Linked DNA regions of Lonchura striata. The protein of the gene in region 1 interacts with the protein of each later gene in a biochemical or structural test. Links are inferred from orthologs where the notes say so. Each region holds a gene or a part of one and is shown in the gene's direction. Other genes may lie near its edges.

The links.
Region 2: the proteins of MATK (region 1) and tyrosine-protein phosphatase non-receptor type substrate 1 form a complex in vitro, tested with the Homo sapiens proteins (3 studies listed by BioGRID, with this or other methods). The link is inferred for Lonchura striata from reciprocal best matches to the Homo sapiens genes MATK and SIRPA.

The regions. Positions count from the first base shown.
Region 1 is NC_134630.1:1,927,062-1,934,815, forward strand, and holds the start of MATK (megakaryocyte-associated tyrosine-protein kinase), read left to right. Parts: upstream 1-4,306; 5' UTR 4,307-4,458; intron 4,459-4,570; 5' UTR 4,571-4,599; coding exon 4,600-4,632; intron 4,633-7,754.
Region 2 is NC_134619.1:7,298,592-7,306,252, reverse strand, and holds the start of tyrosine-protein phosphatase non-receptor type substrate 1, read left to right. Parts: upstream 1-4,551; 5' UTR 4,552-4,664; coding exon 4,665-4,737; intron 4,738-7,661. UniProt on the Homo sapiens protein: Immunoglobulin-like cell surface receptor for CD47. Acts as docking protein and induces translocation of PTPN6, PTPN11 and other binding partners from the cytosol to the plasma membrane.

The DNA.
Region 1 (7,754 bases):
AAACTATGGTAGAAGTATATGCTTTGAGTCAATTCACAGCAGTAAATGAGCTCTTGGGACAACCTAGTGTGATCTGTCTTGTTTAGCTTTGCCAAAAGTTCTTAGCTTAAAGGTGCCATCTAATGCTATGAAACCAAACCATTTCCCAAAGGCTTTCTATCACATTTTTCTCAAAAGTTAGACTGATGTTACAGTTAACAGGGAAATAAAGTTAACACTTCAGAAAAACCCAGTAACTTAAGTAGAGCACAATCAAACCTCAAGTGTTATTTCTTAAAATATTCTTCAAAATTATTTTGCAATTGGTTTTGACTGATCAAGTTGATGTCTCTAAAAACCTTTTGCTCCAAGTGTTCATTCGTCTTTCGACATTGTACCTCATGTCTTCTCTGAGTTATGGCTTTGAAAATGTCTGAGCACAAGAATTGTCAGATTTTTCATATGGCACTGGAAGAAGATCATGCACATGATCACAATGTGGTCATTCAGAGTTGTCTTTACTGGAGTTTTTCCCAATGTCTACTTCTGTCCCAGAGTACTTACAGCAGGGTGCCAGTACTTACTCCTCACTCTTAGAGAGGCTGTGACAGGTCTGTTTGTCTGTGGGACCAGCTGAGCATCTGAAGTTACTCAGCAGTAACTGTTCTTTGCTGAGGCTGCTAATGTGGCATGAACAGAAGTTTAGGAGCAGCTGATCCAGAGAACTGCACAGAGGAAGGGATGCTAAGAGTGGAAAAAGTGGTGTGAGCCATAACCTATTCAGAAATATTCTGCAACATTGAAAGCATCTGATGTATAGCATCATGGAGACATTCATGTCCACTAGCGATAAAAAGCTTAAAATCTGTCAGGCCTAACTACACTTTGTAGTTAATAAAACCATAATCAAAGAAAAAATTACAATTAAATTTGTATTTGCAATGCACGAAGATTCTAAGAGAGTCTTGAATTGCCTTTTATTTTGAAAGATTTCTTACCATTGGAAAAATTTGGAATCATGGAAATGCTTTAGGTTGGAAGGGATTCCACACCCCTGGGCAGGAACAACTTTCACTGTCCCAGGCTGCTCCAAGCCCTGTCCAGCCTGGCCTTGGGCACTGCCAGGGACCCAGGGTGGGCACCCTGTGCCAGGGCCTGCCCACCCTGCCAGGGAACAATTCCTGCCCAATCTCCCATCCAGCCCTGCCCTCTGGCACTGGGAGCCATTCCCTGTGTCCTGTCCCTCCAGGCCTTGTCCCCAGTCCCTCTCCATCTCTCCTGGAGCCCCTTCAGGCCCTGCCAGGGGCTCTGAGCTCTCCCTGGAGCTTCTCCTCTCCAGGGGAGCACCCCCAGCTCTCCCAGCCTGGCTCCATGGCAGAGGGGCTCCAGCCCTTGCAGCATCTCCGTGGCTCCTCTGGCCTGGCTCCAGCAGCTCCACGTCCTCCTGCTGCTGTTCCCCAGGCTGGGGCAGCTCTGCAGGTGGGGTCTCACCTGAGCGGGGCAGAGGGGCAGAATCCCCCCTCCCCTGCTGCCCACGCTGGGCTCAGCCCAGCCCAGGGGGGCTCTGGGGTCAGTGCCCATGGCCGGGGCAGGCTGAGCCTCTCACCCACCAGCACCCCAACCCTCCCCAGGGCTGCTCCTCATCCATTCTCTGGGTTTGTGCCTGGGGTTGCCCTGACCCTGGTGCAGGAGTTGTGCTTGGCCTTGGGTGAACTTTGTGAGATGGGTTCGAACCCACCTCTCCAGCCCATCTGTGCCAGGTGTGCCTTTTGAGCATCACCTGCTGCACACTGGGGAGGCTGAGTGCCAGCCAGGTGTGCTCAAGCAGAAGCTTTTACTTAACAAAGCAAAGCTTTTAGCAAAGGCATTGCTTCAATGTTGGGTTACAGGTGTAAATGTAATAAATTTAATCCACCACAGCCAGCTGCTCTAATAATTGCTCTAATGAGAAGGAATAGAAAAAATTGGGGAAGATTTCATAGAAACAAACGGCTGTCAATAGTATGAAGGATTTTTAACTTAAATGCTATTAGGGATGTCTTCCTAAACAGCTAAGAATTGAATTACTAAGTCAGTTTTCTTCATTCACAAACTACTAAAAATAGAGAAAAGAAGCAGCAAACTTGTGAAAAGAAGGTGACAAAACTGAAGCAGACTACAACTGTCTTTGAAAGTGTACCTTGAGGTCTGCTGAGTGTACACCCTGTTTGACATGACTGAGTAGGAGAGGTTGACACTTTCCTTGTGGGACAAATTGCTGTGTGAGGCTTTTGATTTCAGATATATTCATCACGATTTTTAACTTTTTTACAACATTATTTTTCAACAATGCTTGATCAAGCTGTTGAATTTATGCCATGCTGGTTTATTTTGTGCATAATCGCCTTACTCAGATTTTTCAAATACACATTTATGGGCTTTCATGTAGGGTTTTGTATTAGTCAGGCTTTTTTTTTGTTTGTTTTTCTGTGTGCCAATACTGTTTTCAATGCTGGGACAGATGATGACACATTTAGATTATTTGCATTTTGTGAATTCCTGAAAATGTTACTTATGAAATCATACATTAAGATTCAAAATCTAAATTAAATCTTCATTTCCAGTGAGATCAGGTTTTGTTCTTCCCATTCTTAGTATAAGCAGGGCCAGATAAAAAAAAAAAAAAAACAAATATAAGTATTATTTATGCATGGAAAATGCCCATGATAACACAGGCAGTGATTGATTAGCACCAGGAAAGGGAGATATTTTTCAAGAGAGCATACCTGAGTGTACAACGGACTCAAAAAAATCTGCTATAAGAAATGCTTTGTTAAATGACTGCTACTTCCCATAACCTTTAAAATTAAGACATTTCCATCGTGTTGACAAACCCTGTCAATGTATGTGAATGAATTGTGGTCTGGTTCAATTTCTCTGTGGGGTTTTCAGCTGGCTCTTTCTAGAGCCCTTTGCAGATTCAATGGATGTTGCATTTCCTTCCTGTCTTGAATTGCAGTGTAAGGTGGCTGGGAGCTTTTAAAGTCACTGTTACTCAATAGGGTGGCAACATTATATTAAGGAATAAGTATGTATACCTTGAGAAAATACATCCTGGTGAGAAATTCCTGCTGTCACTGTCATGGTTAGTTATCCTGAAGGATGTGCTTTGTGTCTCAGATTTGAAATGGTGAAAGTTAAAATATCCAACTTCCTTGTAAGTTCTGAGTCCAGCTGCAATGGGTTTGTGTTTAGTATTCAGACAGTAGTGCCAGAATCCTACACTCAGATAAAAGATGTGACAGGAGGTGGGGAAAAAACTTCTCCTCTTGCACTTGGCCATCAAACTGCAGCAGGTGAATGATAAGAAAATGCCAGGAAAGAACAGAAATATCCATGGAGACCCCAAAGACTCCATCTCAGTGACAGAAGTGATATATTCAGCTCTGGGTGTGCATTTGAGGTAGAATTCTTGTATGATTACTGCAGTTAAGAAGATTACCAGGCAGCTGTAAAATCCTGCATGCACTCAGTTGTCTGAGAACATTAACATTTTTAGAAAAGAGCTCTGAAATCAGCTCTTCATTCTCCTGACATTCATCCCAAGGAAGTTCTGCCACCAAGGTCAAGTCCAAGAGTTGATTTGTTGGGGGTGTGTGCATTTTGGTGATAAAAGAGAAAATAAAATTTCTTACTTGGCTATTTGTGTAATTTCCCACAAAGATGGATACATCCCTGTAGTTTGATGACCTGTGACAAAGCAGTCTAGTAATTAATTTCAAAATGCTTCAAACCCCAAGGCAGAGTCCCAAGAATGGAAAAATGTCCAGAGAAGTAGCAAGGTTTCGTTAAAGGGAAAGCATGTTTGTCTGCTTTTTAACTTCTAACGTGTCACTTTAATCCACTCCAGAGACAATGGGACTTTTTGTAAACAAGGGTTTAAAAGAAGGATTCAGGGAGACCTCAGAGCCCCTTCCAGTGCCTAAAGGGGCTCCAGGAGAGCTGGAGAGGAAGCTTAGGCAAGGGCATGGAGGGACAGGACACAGGGAATGGCTCCCAGTGCCAGAGGGCAGGGCTGGATGGGAGATTGGGCAGGAATTGTTCCCTGGCAGGGTGGGCAGGCCCTGGCACAGGGTGCCCAGAGCAGCTGTGGCTGCCCCTGGATCCCTGGCAGTGCCCAAGGCCAGGCTGGACAGGGCTGGGAGCAGCCTGGGACAGTGGGAGGTGTCCCTGCCCATGGGTGTGGAATAAGATGAGGTTTAAGATCCCTTCCAACCCAAACCTTTCTGGGATTCTGTGGTTCTGTGGATTTTTCAGAACTGTATTTCCAGCCCCAGGCACTCCCACTTGACTTCTACAACGCTCATGTTGCTTTTCGGAACACTCAGAGTTGTTATTTATAGAAAAGCTTTTAAGGGAAGTCTCAGATGCTGTAACTGTGGGCTCATTCCAGAGAATCTAAAGCTCAGTTGATCAGCTTCTCACATTTCCTTACTTCAGGTAAAGCAAGATTTCAGAATTATTTAAATAGTTTTTAAGCATGTTTTTAATTCTTTGCCTGCTGATGTTTGCTGTTAAAAACCTGACTGCAATATATTCATTTTTGTGATAGGTTTCCTTTCTCATCTCTAGCATTGACAGATGAACCTGGACTGCAAGATCCCTGTTAGGAAGGTAAGTTGGATGCTTTAGAGACTGTAAGGTGCCAGGAAGTTTTCTTTACTGTAGAAGAAGAAATTCTTCTCTGTGAGGGTGGGCAGGCCCTGGCATAGGCTGCCCAGAGCAGCTGTGGCTGCCTCTGGATCCCTGGCAGTGTCCAAAGCCAGGCTGGACAGGGCTTGGAGACAGTGGAAGGTGTCCCTGGCATGGCAGGGGTGAAATGGGACGGGTTTTAAGGTCCTTCCCAACCCAAACTGTTCTGGGATTCAGTGACTCTGTAATGAGATGATGCATTTCATTGATGCAGGTAGAGAAGTGCAGTTAATACCAGTTTGCTGAATGTCCCTGACAGTGGGATACTATGGATTCTCACTGCAACTGAGAGATGTGGACTACATTTAATTTATTCTTATTCTTCTATCATTAGTAACACTAGAAATTGTGTTGCTCAGATTTAAGTGAAGGGATTCATCAAAGTGAGAGGAGCATAGAACCACAGAAAATCCAGAGCTGGAAGGGACCCACAGGTCCATCCATGCAGCCCCTGTCCCTGCCCAGACCCCCCAACAGCCCCACCCTGAGCAGCCCTGAGAGCGCTGTCCAAACGCTCCTGCAGCTCTGGCAGCCTCGGGGCCGGGACCATTCCCTGGGGAGCCTGGGCAGTGCCAGCACCCTCGGGGGGAAGAACCTTTCCCTGAGCTCCATGCCAAGGCCTGACAGGAGGGTCCTGGTTAATTTGGCTCTCCACACTGACAGTGAGAGGTTGGGCTGTCCCACCAAAGGAGAGTGCTCCTGTCTATAAATGAAATGCTACACGTGCTCAGTGTTTCTATGTGCCACTGACTCCTCTGTCCCATTTTTTATTGCCTATGCGAAAAACCACAGAATTTATTGCAGCACATAAAATTGTACAGTGCATGACTCAAGCCCTCTCCCATCCTGTTTGCTCAGTTCTTCTTGGTTTGATATGCACTAGGAAAGGTCATTTAAATGTAATTACTTTTTTTCATAAACAGTTGCAATTCTCTTGACTGTGCAATGAGAGCATTGGCTTTCTTGATCAATATCAAATAAGCAAATATTAAAAATTGCTCATGTTAAATATGATGAAAGGGAATCTAGTTTGAGATTAAATTAAAATTGCAGTAGCCGGTCTTGCCTGAAACCTCTGTGACTCAGGGCAGAAATTTGATGAAGAAGGCTTCAGCTTGGACACCAGATTCATGGTTTCGTATTTTCAAAGGCACTGGCTACTGTAGCTTTAGGTGAGGTTTTGCAATATAAGCTTAATTTCTGTGTATGGTGTAGTGGTGGTGATGAACTTCTAAATAACTTAAAATTCCATCTTCCATAGTGTGTGGGAAGAACTGCAGATTTCTCTGTATTTCCTCCATATAGTGGCCTTCATTTCAGTTGGGTTGTTACCATTTTATCTCCTTTTTCCCCTGGCAAAAAAATGATGACTTTGAGGGAAAAAAAACCCATAATCATAGCACTTGAAATCCTGAAAGAATACATTTGATGCACACAGTGAAAAGAGAGACAGGTAAAAAAGCAGAGGGTGAAGGAGGTGGAAAAAATTACAAAAAAGAAATGCTGCATAGTAATCATATTGCATGTATGAAATAATGCTCATATTATTGCAATTTTTGCCTGTAATAAGTCCTGGGTTCGTCTGATAGCTTGTGTTTTAAATAGACAATTGCAGGTAGTTTTGTTGCACTATAATTCTCCAAAATTGTGTAATCCCTGATGGGACAGTGGAGCCAGGTGGGGTCAGTCTCTTTGCCAGGTAACAAATGACAGAACAAGAGGAAACAGCCTCAAATTGCAGCAGGAGAGGTCTGGGTTGGATATAGAGGAAAACTTCATGGAAATGGTGGTCAGGCACTGGCACAGGTGCCCAAGGCAGTGATGGAGTCATCATGCCTGAAGTGTTGAAATGTGTGGCTGTGGCACTTGGGGACATGGTTTAGTGGTGAACATGGAGGTGGTGCTGGGCTGACAGTTGGACTTGATGATCCTGGAGGTCTTTTCCCACCTTAATGATTCTGTGATTCCATAACCATTACAGAAATTGCACCGTTGTGTAAGAGTTGAGTTGCCTGTAGCAACAGTTCCTTTCCTTCTGTTATGTTTCCTTCCTCCCACTCCTTGCTCTAGAAGAAACTCTTCCCACAGTAAAACATGTAGAACGATATAATAAAGAGAAATAAATCCCACACACACTCTGGTATCATGTGTATCCTTTAAACATTTTGTCACTTTAGATTTCTGGCCTCTGGCCTGAGGTGCCTGAAGCTGCCAGGTTTTGTTGTATGGGTTTGGGGTTATCCCCCACCCTTTGGAGCAGGGATCCTGGGGGCTGTTTGTACAGCGAGGTGCAGACATGGAGACACTTCCTTCTCAGTGGTTTGGAACAAAGCTGACTGAGCTGTAACACAGCTTTGGTGCTGTCACAGTGGTACCTGGAAAAAGAGTGCAATGCAGAGAACCAGATCTGGGCACTTGGGTTGTTGGACATGACACCAGCAGACAGCAAGAGAATTGCCACAGGCTTCAGCTTCATGTATTTGTTGAAGGCTGGGAGAGCTGGGGGTGCTCCCCTGGAGAGGAGAAGCTCCAGGGAGAGCTCAGAGCCCCTGGCAGGGCCTGAAGGGGCTCCAGGAGAGCTGGAGAGGGACTGGGGACAAGGCCTGGAGGGACAGGACACAGGGAATGGCTCCCACTGCCAGAGGGATTCAATGGGATACTGGGCAGGAATTGTTCCCTGGCAGGGTGGGCAGGCCCTGGCACAGGGTGCCCAGAGCAGCTGTGGCTGCTCCATCCCTGGAAGTGTTCCAGGCCAGGTTGTGCAGGGCTGGGAGCAGCCTGGGACGGTGGAAGGTGTCCCTGCCCTTGGCAGGGGTTTAGAAAGGGATGTTAGTCAAGGTCACTTCCAACACCAATCATTCTGGAATTCTGTGAGTCTATATTTCTGTGTGGAAATATAAATCTTTGATGTGATAAAGCATGTTTTAACTCAGTGACATTCCCTTTAAATGCTGGAGATTGGATGTCAAAGACATGTCTGCTTTTATGATTTATTGCCATTTTCTGGTTCCCTTTTTGAAGGTGTGCAATGCAGGGCAGACTAC
Region 2 (7,661 bases), on another chromosome or scaffold:
AGTTAACATGAGATAAACTAATTTAAGCTTCCCCTGTACTGCATGTCTCGGATTAAATTGGCAAAGTACCTAATGAAGCTGCAGCTCCATTTGTTGTGCTGGAAGCCCTAAATATCAGCAGTGTAATTGGTGCTCCCTGCTTCAAGAGACATTTGTGTTTCTCTCCCAGCTGAAAGCCCTCTTTGGGTGCTGACTGAAGCCTGAGAGGTGGGGGTGAGGGGAGGCTGTAGGATGTGTCCATGTGGATTTTAGGCTGGAGGGGTCTTGGAATTTGTTTTTTGAAGCTGGAGGATGGATAGGGGAACATGCTGCTCTCTGTCTGTCTGGAGGCTGCACTGGCTTGTGCCAGAACAGCCCTTGTGTGGGCCTGTGCTCTGATATGGCCCTGCAGGGTGTTTTCTTGTGGTGAGGTGTGAAAGTAGCACCTTTTGGGGGGCTGGGCTGGGAGGAGTTGGTGGCTGGGACTGGGCTGGGGTGGCTCTGAGTTTCCCCAGGGTGGTGAGTTCCGTGACACTGTGTTTTTTGGATTATCGAGGAATCTTTGAGGTTGGAAAAGACCTCTAAGATCATTGAGTCATTATTGTGGAGGGCTCCCATAAGTGCTGGCTGCTCGCTGGTGCTTGGGCATGGCTCTGTGCCCACAGCCCCAAAACAGCACCTCTGGATGCCAAATCTGGGGTATTTTCCAGGCTGGCGTCCAGAGTATTAGTGGTTTTTTTCCTGTATCCCTGAGCTGGTTTGGGTTGTGAAGGGTGGACTGAGCATTTTGGGCCAGCTGCTGTGTCCAGGTGTGATGTGGCCACTCAGGCTGTTGGTACTTCTCCCACTGCACCGTCCCATTGCTGGAGCAGGGATCATGAGGGACAAAGTCCCCGGCAGAGAAAGACTGCAGTCACCTCCATCAGTGAAATGTGATTCATTAACAGGCCCAGGTTTGGCCCTGCAGGGCAGGGACTGGAACCTCTCCCACCTCCGTCCCCTGTGAATCCCCTCCAGCCGAGGGAGCCCCGCTGTTCCCGGGGGCTGGGAGCAGATCAGACATGCAGCTGATTAAGGCATGAAAGAACAGTCTGGGCAAAACCAGTGCTGCAGGACTTTCCACTGGGATCACTCTGGCAAGGCTGTGATTGTTCCTTTTGGATGCTGCCAGGCTCTGACAAGAGATGAGGTGCTCTTGCCCTGGCTGAGGGTCCCTGTGTGTGGATGGGTGCCCACCTCCTCCTGGGGAGAGAGCAGATCCTGCAGAGCTGCCAGCTGGGAGCAAGGGAATGCAAAAAGGACATCGAGTCTGTGGTTCTGGCTGGGAATAGGGAAGGGGAGCAGATCCCTGCCTGCCCAGCACTCAAACCTCTGGGAGTGGCTGAGCCTGGCCCAGCCCTGCCACACAGAGCCCGTACCTACCCCAAACAGATGCTAGCAGCGTGAAGCGAGTTCCTCACTGTGCCTCAAAGCTGTGAAAATCAACTTACTCTTGAAAAGCTCCTCTGAAATGCTACCCTGTCCCCATGCTGGCTGCTGCCCAGCTCCTGGGGCCAGGGAAAGCAGAGCTCTGGAATCCACTGGGGACTCTGGAATCCTGCCTGCCAGAGCAGGGGTTTTGAGCTGAAGCATGGAGATGCTGCAGAGCAAGAGCAGCCTGGGTGCCCGCTGGCAGCACAGAGAGCCTGGCAGTGCTGCCTGCCCTGCCAAGCAGTGCTGCAGCCTCCTGCTCACTGTGGGTGTTCTGTACAGAAGGATGATGATGCTGATGGCAGAGTTGCACTCCCAAAATTTTGGGAGTCCCTCTGTCTCAGGCGTACAAAGAGCCAAACGCACCCTGGCTCCCTGCCCAGTGCAGGGCAAGGGCTGCCCTGCCAGGGTGAATCCTCCCAGCCTTGGAGCAGGGCCCGTGATGCGGAGTGGAAGGGCCATGGGTAGGAGGGGAGGCAGCTGAGCCTGCCCATATGCTTCCTAATGGGGAGCAATAGCAGCTCTTCCCGGGGAGCTCGCGCCGCACCATCTGCTCTGCGCGGTACCTTCTCCTGCAGAGCTTTTTTAAGCTCCGAGTTCCCTTCCCGAGCACTCTGCGGTGGCTGCTGCTTGTGTTGCGGGCTGGCTCTGCTCTGTAATCGCCTCAGAACAGGTTGTCTGAACCTTCCACGCTGAGCAGAACATCCCAGACAGGCTGAAGCCAACCAGGCCTCCAGGATCTGTGCTTCCGTGTAAAAATAACCAGGAAAGGTGGTTGTGAATGGCTGCAGTGTGTCCCTGGTATTTGCCCTCATGCTGGGCACCCACTTGCCCTGAGGGTCCCTGCTTCTGGACTAGGGCTGGGTAGGATGCACTGCCCACAGGGGTGAAGCTGCAGGGTTCCACAAACCACTCCTAATCCCATGGAATATCCAGAGCTGAAAGTGACCCATAAAGATCATCGAGTCCAATGGGGTGTCCTGGCACAGGACACTCCAAGAATCCCACCTTGTGTCCAAGAGCATTGTCCAAATGTTTTTTGAGCTCTGGCAGGCTTGGGGCTGTGACCAGTGCCCTGGGGAGCCTGTTCCAGTACCCAAACATCTCTGGTAGAAGAACCTTTTTCTAATACCAACCTCAAAGTTCTCTGACAGAGCTTCATGCAGTTCCCTCAAGTCTTATCACTGGTCATCAGAGACCAGAGCTCAACACCTTTGCTTCCTCTTGTGAGGTGCCTGTGGGCTCTTGTAGTGATGTGTCCCCATCCCTATGCAAAAAAAATTATTGCTATTTGCAAAAGGCCAAATCCAAGGGCTCCTCTGGACCCCTGCTCCTTGTTGGCCGCTCTGGCCAGCTCTGTGAAGGGAAATGATGGCTGTATTGGGCTTTCCAAGGCCAGTGCTGCTGGCCACAAAAGTTTTCCCAGTGGGAGCAGTACTGGCCACAACCCTCGAGTGCAGCCTCCAGCTGCCAGGGGATTGCAGAGGGAGGTGAGTGCAGAAGCCTGGGGAGCTGTTCCTGGTTCCAGCAGTGCTAAATTAAGGCAGGATGTGCCCCATGGGCGTAGCTGGGGCTGAGGGGGAGGCTGGCGGGGCCGGGGATGCGCAGGCGGATGCCGTGCGCAGATTGACGGTGCCAAGTCACTTCAGATATCTCGGCTGTGTTTGTGCGAGGCTCTAAATAAAACCGACAGCCCTGGCGGCTGCCTGGGGAGGGGAGGAGGGGGGAGCTGGCAGTGGGTCCTCCAGTATGGCACCCAGCGCTGTCCTCAGGGACCCAGCCCGGTGTGGGGGAGTGCTTGGTGCGATCTGTGCTGCCAGGGATGCTGCAGGTGATGCTGGGTGGGCTGGGAGCTCCTGCTCTGCAGTGCCTACCCCATCCCTGGGAGGGCAGAGGGGACAGTGGGGTGGTGCTAGGGAGCTGCCAGCATTGCACCTGGCGTGGCTGAAGTCCCCACACCTGGGTGGTGTGAGAAGCTGTGACAGGTGCAGGCAGTGGAGAATGTGTCCTTGTGAATCCCCTGGGAAGGACTTTGTGGCGGGGACAAGCAGAGCGGTGCGGGGACATGAATCGCATGGATGCTGACACCCCCTTCCTCAGCCCTGCCTACCATCAGAGCTGCCTTGTCCTCAGGCTCTCGCTTCTCCCCGCTGAGGGGACATCACGGGCATGTCCCCACCGTCCCAGAGCGCCGTGCAGGAATTCCCTCTCCCTCCCCATCCATCCTCTGCCTGTCTGTGCTGCACCAACGTCCCCTCCTGGCCCTGAGCCCCGTCGGCCAAGCTGACCTGCAAAATACCACCCGTGCCTCTGCCACGGGCTCACAGCTCGGCCCTGCGTGGTCCCTTGGGAGGTCCCTGGGCACTTGGGAGCCCCAAAGCCGTGTGCTGTTTGTGCCTGAGCTGTCCTGGCTCAGCCCCAGGTGGCCCCTGGGTGTTCGGGACCGAAGGCTGTGTGCTCCTGCACCCCGATCCCAGCTCGGGGATGCGGCGCTGTGTATCGCGGCCGTGCCCAAGCGGCGGCTACCCCGGCAGCGCGTGGAGAGCGGGGGATCCCCGGCCCCCATCCCTGGGGCCGTGGAGCCGCCTCCCTCCCCCCGGGCCCACCGGGCATCCCGGGGCTGCTGGCGGCCGGTCCCGGGGGTCCCCTCCCAGCCCACCTTAAGGCAGCCGCACACCGGCTTGACCGGAGGACTCTGCCCCGGGGCGGGCGGGGCTGGCTTCGCCCCCGCCGCGGGGGGAAGCGGCGCTGCACCGGGGCTGCTGGGAGCCGGAGGGGGTCTCGAAGCTGGGGCCGGCTCCGTCCCTCCCCGGTGCCACGGCAACGGAGGCGGCGCGGCGGCCGGGGGGAGGCGGCTCCGCGCGGCACCGGGGCACGCGCCCGCCCGGGGCCCCGCCGCGGCGGCCCCGTCACGGCCCCGAGCCCGCTCCGGTGCCCACGGGCGGCGGCGGGGCCGCGGGTCCGTGCCGCTGCGTGCGTGTGCGCTGCCCGCCCGCCGCGGGGGGAGAAAGGGGGGAGCCCGGCCTCCTTCCTCATTTTGGGGCTGAGAACAGCGATTTCCTTCGCCAGCTGCAGTTCTGCGCTTTTTGCCTTTTTTTTTTTTTTTTTTTTTTTTTTTTTTTTTTTTTTTTTTAATTTGTCTTATTTATCAAACCCAGCCGCCGAGCCGGGCGCGGGGCCGCGCTGTGAAGCCGCGGGCTCCGCTCCCCGCACCGATGGAGCCGCATCCCCGGGATCCCGGCCGCACCGCCTGGGCATTGCCCTGCCTGCTGCTGCTCGCCCTGCCCGGTAAGCCATGGCTTCTGCCTGCATTCCTGCTCCTTTCCCTGCCCTGTTCCCCCCTTTCCCTCCCGCCCTGCTTCCCTGCTCTGCCCTGTCCTCCCCTTTCTCAGGCTGCTCGTCTTCTCTGCCCTGTTTTCCCCCTTCTTTCCATCCTGCTCCTGCCTCCTCTGTCCTGTTTTCCACCTTTCCCTCCCACACAGCTCCTCTCCCTGCTCTGCCTTGTTTTCCCCCTTTTCCCGTTCTGCTCCTCTCCTCTGCCCTGTCCCCCCCTTGTCTCCCTGCCCTGTCCCCCGTTTTCCCCCGATCCTGTCCGCACACCTCCGGTACCGACATGACGCCGCCTCTCCGCGCTCGGTCGCTTTGACCTTTCCTGCGGTGACCTCGAGAGCGGCGGTGGCCCAGGGGCTCCCGCGGGGCCCGTGCCCGGCGCTTCTCAACCCAAACTTCAAGGCAGGCAGACATGCCCTTTCCCAGCGAGGCAGGGGCATGAAGAGGCATGTTGTTCCCACCCATTTGCGAGCACCCCCTGCCAGCTATGGGTGAGGCAAAACTCCGCAAACAGCCCGAATTCCCACTTGGAGATGGTAGTGGAGAAGGCATGGAGAGGCTCTGGTGAGGGCTGTCTTGTCTTCTATGGCAGGAACTTGTTTTTCTTGCTGCCCTCCTGCTTCACCCCGCTGTGGGCTCTTTCTCTGCTTGACTGTTGGGCACTGAAGTGGTGGAATTGCAACACCTCTGGGCACTCTGTCCCATGTCATCCTGTGTCACCTGAGGCTCAGGGTGCCCCAGACCTCCCACGGGCTCATGGCTCCACCAGTTCCTTATAAAAGCTGGGGCATGCAGCAAAGGAGCAAAGTGTGCCACTCTTGGCTGTTTCCCTTGCCGGCAGCGCGAGGTCTCTCATCCCACCAGGAACAAAGCCCTGTGGTGACTGCTGCTTTCAAGGATGTTTCCTTTCTAGGGTGTTTCGTTTTGGGTGATTTCGAAGGAATCGCTCTCCCTGCCAAGGGAGGAACGGGTTTTTTGAGGCAAACCTGCAGCAATAGTGATGCATCTTCAGGAGCATCTCGCTGCTGAGCTTTTTGCTCAGTTCCAACCCCATCCCTTCCAGCCAGATCCCACTACGAACAGCCCAGCCCAGGTTCCACGAGGGAAACCCGCATTCTCCCAAGCCCATTGAAATAGTTACCATCAAAGCTTTGCTTGGGCAAAGAGTTGGATGAAAACTTGGGTAGAAAGCAAATGCTTTCAACACAACGCTCCTTGCTTTGAGTTGCCTGATCACAACTGAGAAGTGTTGGCCCCAAACTGAAAACTCTGGCTGCTGAGAGCCAAGAAGACTTTGGCGGCGAGTGCGGCTTCCCAGTGAGCCGCTGCGATTTCCTGCGTGAAAGAATAGCTCCAGCAAGCCTCCCGAACTTAATTAAATGTGGTCTTAGAGTAACAACCCCATTTCTTTGAGCCAGCCATGGGAAAAAACCACCCTGGGGTTTTGAAGTGGTTTGCATCCCTGATTTTAGGTGCAAACGTGCACGTCTTTTTTTTCCATATGGCGAGTCCCTCCTGGGCCGTGGCTCAAACTAAGCTGAACTCCAGCAGAGTTGGCCCAGGCTCCCACTGCCGGCTGTTCCGACAGCTTCTGCAGAAGTGAAGGGGAAAAGGAAAGGTCCTGGAGGAGACCTTCCTGTGGGGCAAAGGCAGCAGAGATGTGGGAACCCAAACAGCAAAGCCCCGTTGAGAAACTGTGCCCTGCGGAGCCCTTCCATGCTGGTCTGTCCCCACAGAGGGTTTCAGCCGTGCTTCACAGAGCCTCTTCCAAAGGGGAATTCAGTTTCCTGCTGGGGCTCTGGCTCTTGGGATGAATTTTTGCTGATGCTGGAGGAGGGGAGCTTGGAAATGGTGGCTGCGTGTGAGCCGAGGCTTCCTCTGATGTCAGGGATGTAAAACACAGCCTTTACTACAGCCCTCCCTGGGCGCCCTGGGGTCTGCTCAGGGCTCAGCAGCTCCCCAGGGCTTTCCTTGCCTTCCCTGAACAGCAGATTCCAGGCCTTTTATAGGCAGCACCTGTTAGTTTCCGCCCCTGGCAGCCCTGCTGCAGGTGAAATTCCAGCAGGATTATTTTGGGGTTCCCTTGCCCATTGGCTTGCTCCTTCAGTGAGTGACTGTGGGGCTTCGGATGCCGGTGACCAGCTGCACGTCGTTTCTGGAGCACACAGCCATCCCGGAGCTCCTCACCCAGCTCCTTCAGAGGAAAAAAAAATCTATTTTTACCGGGAAGCATCCAAGCAGCCTCTCCTGAATTAAACCCCGGCCTCTTGCAATCTGTTCAATATCAAATACTTCAAAAGGTGGAATATAGAAAAAAATGTGTCACCAACATGGAAAACTTGCACTGCAGCAAGAGCTGGGATTATTTTGCTCCCAAATTAAACTGAATAACGGGAAGGAGGCAGGCTCTGCTAGATCGTGCTCCTGCCTCTGCTCAAGGCTGGAAGTGCTCTGGGTCTGCACTGCGAGGGTGCTCCCACCTACATGGGAACTGTCAGGTGATGCTTTCCAGGGCTCTAAAACCCTTGGCTAATTCTGGAGTGTAGGATAGAACAGATTACAGGGTCAGAGCACCTAAATGCCCCATGATCTTGGGGGCAAGAGGATCGTGTTCCAATTCCAGGTGGCTTGAAATCCAAGTCGAAGAAAAAAGGTGTCATCAGGCAGTAGGGGAGAAGCAGGGAAACAGTGAGAAATTGTGGTGTTCCATGTTTTTGTGATTTGAAGACCCCCAGCATCTCACTCCTGGTGCACAAGCATGTCGTGAGCTGCTGGGAAGAAGCTTGGCTGGGCTTTTGCTCCCACTGGCTGGGTGCCTCAAAAGGGGAAGGAGACATATAAGCTGTGTGTGAGAAGCTGTGTTCAGGGAGAAAGAGGAAAGA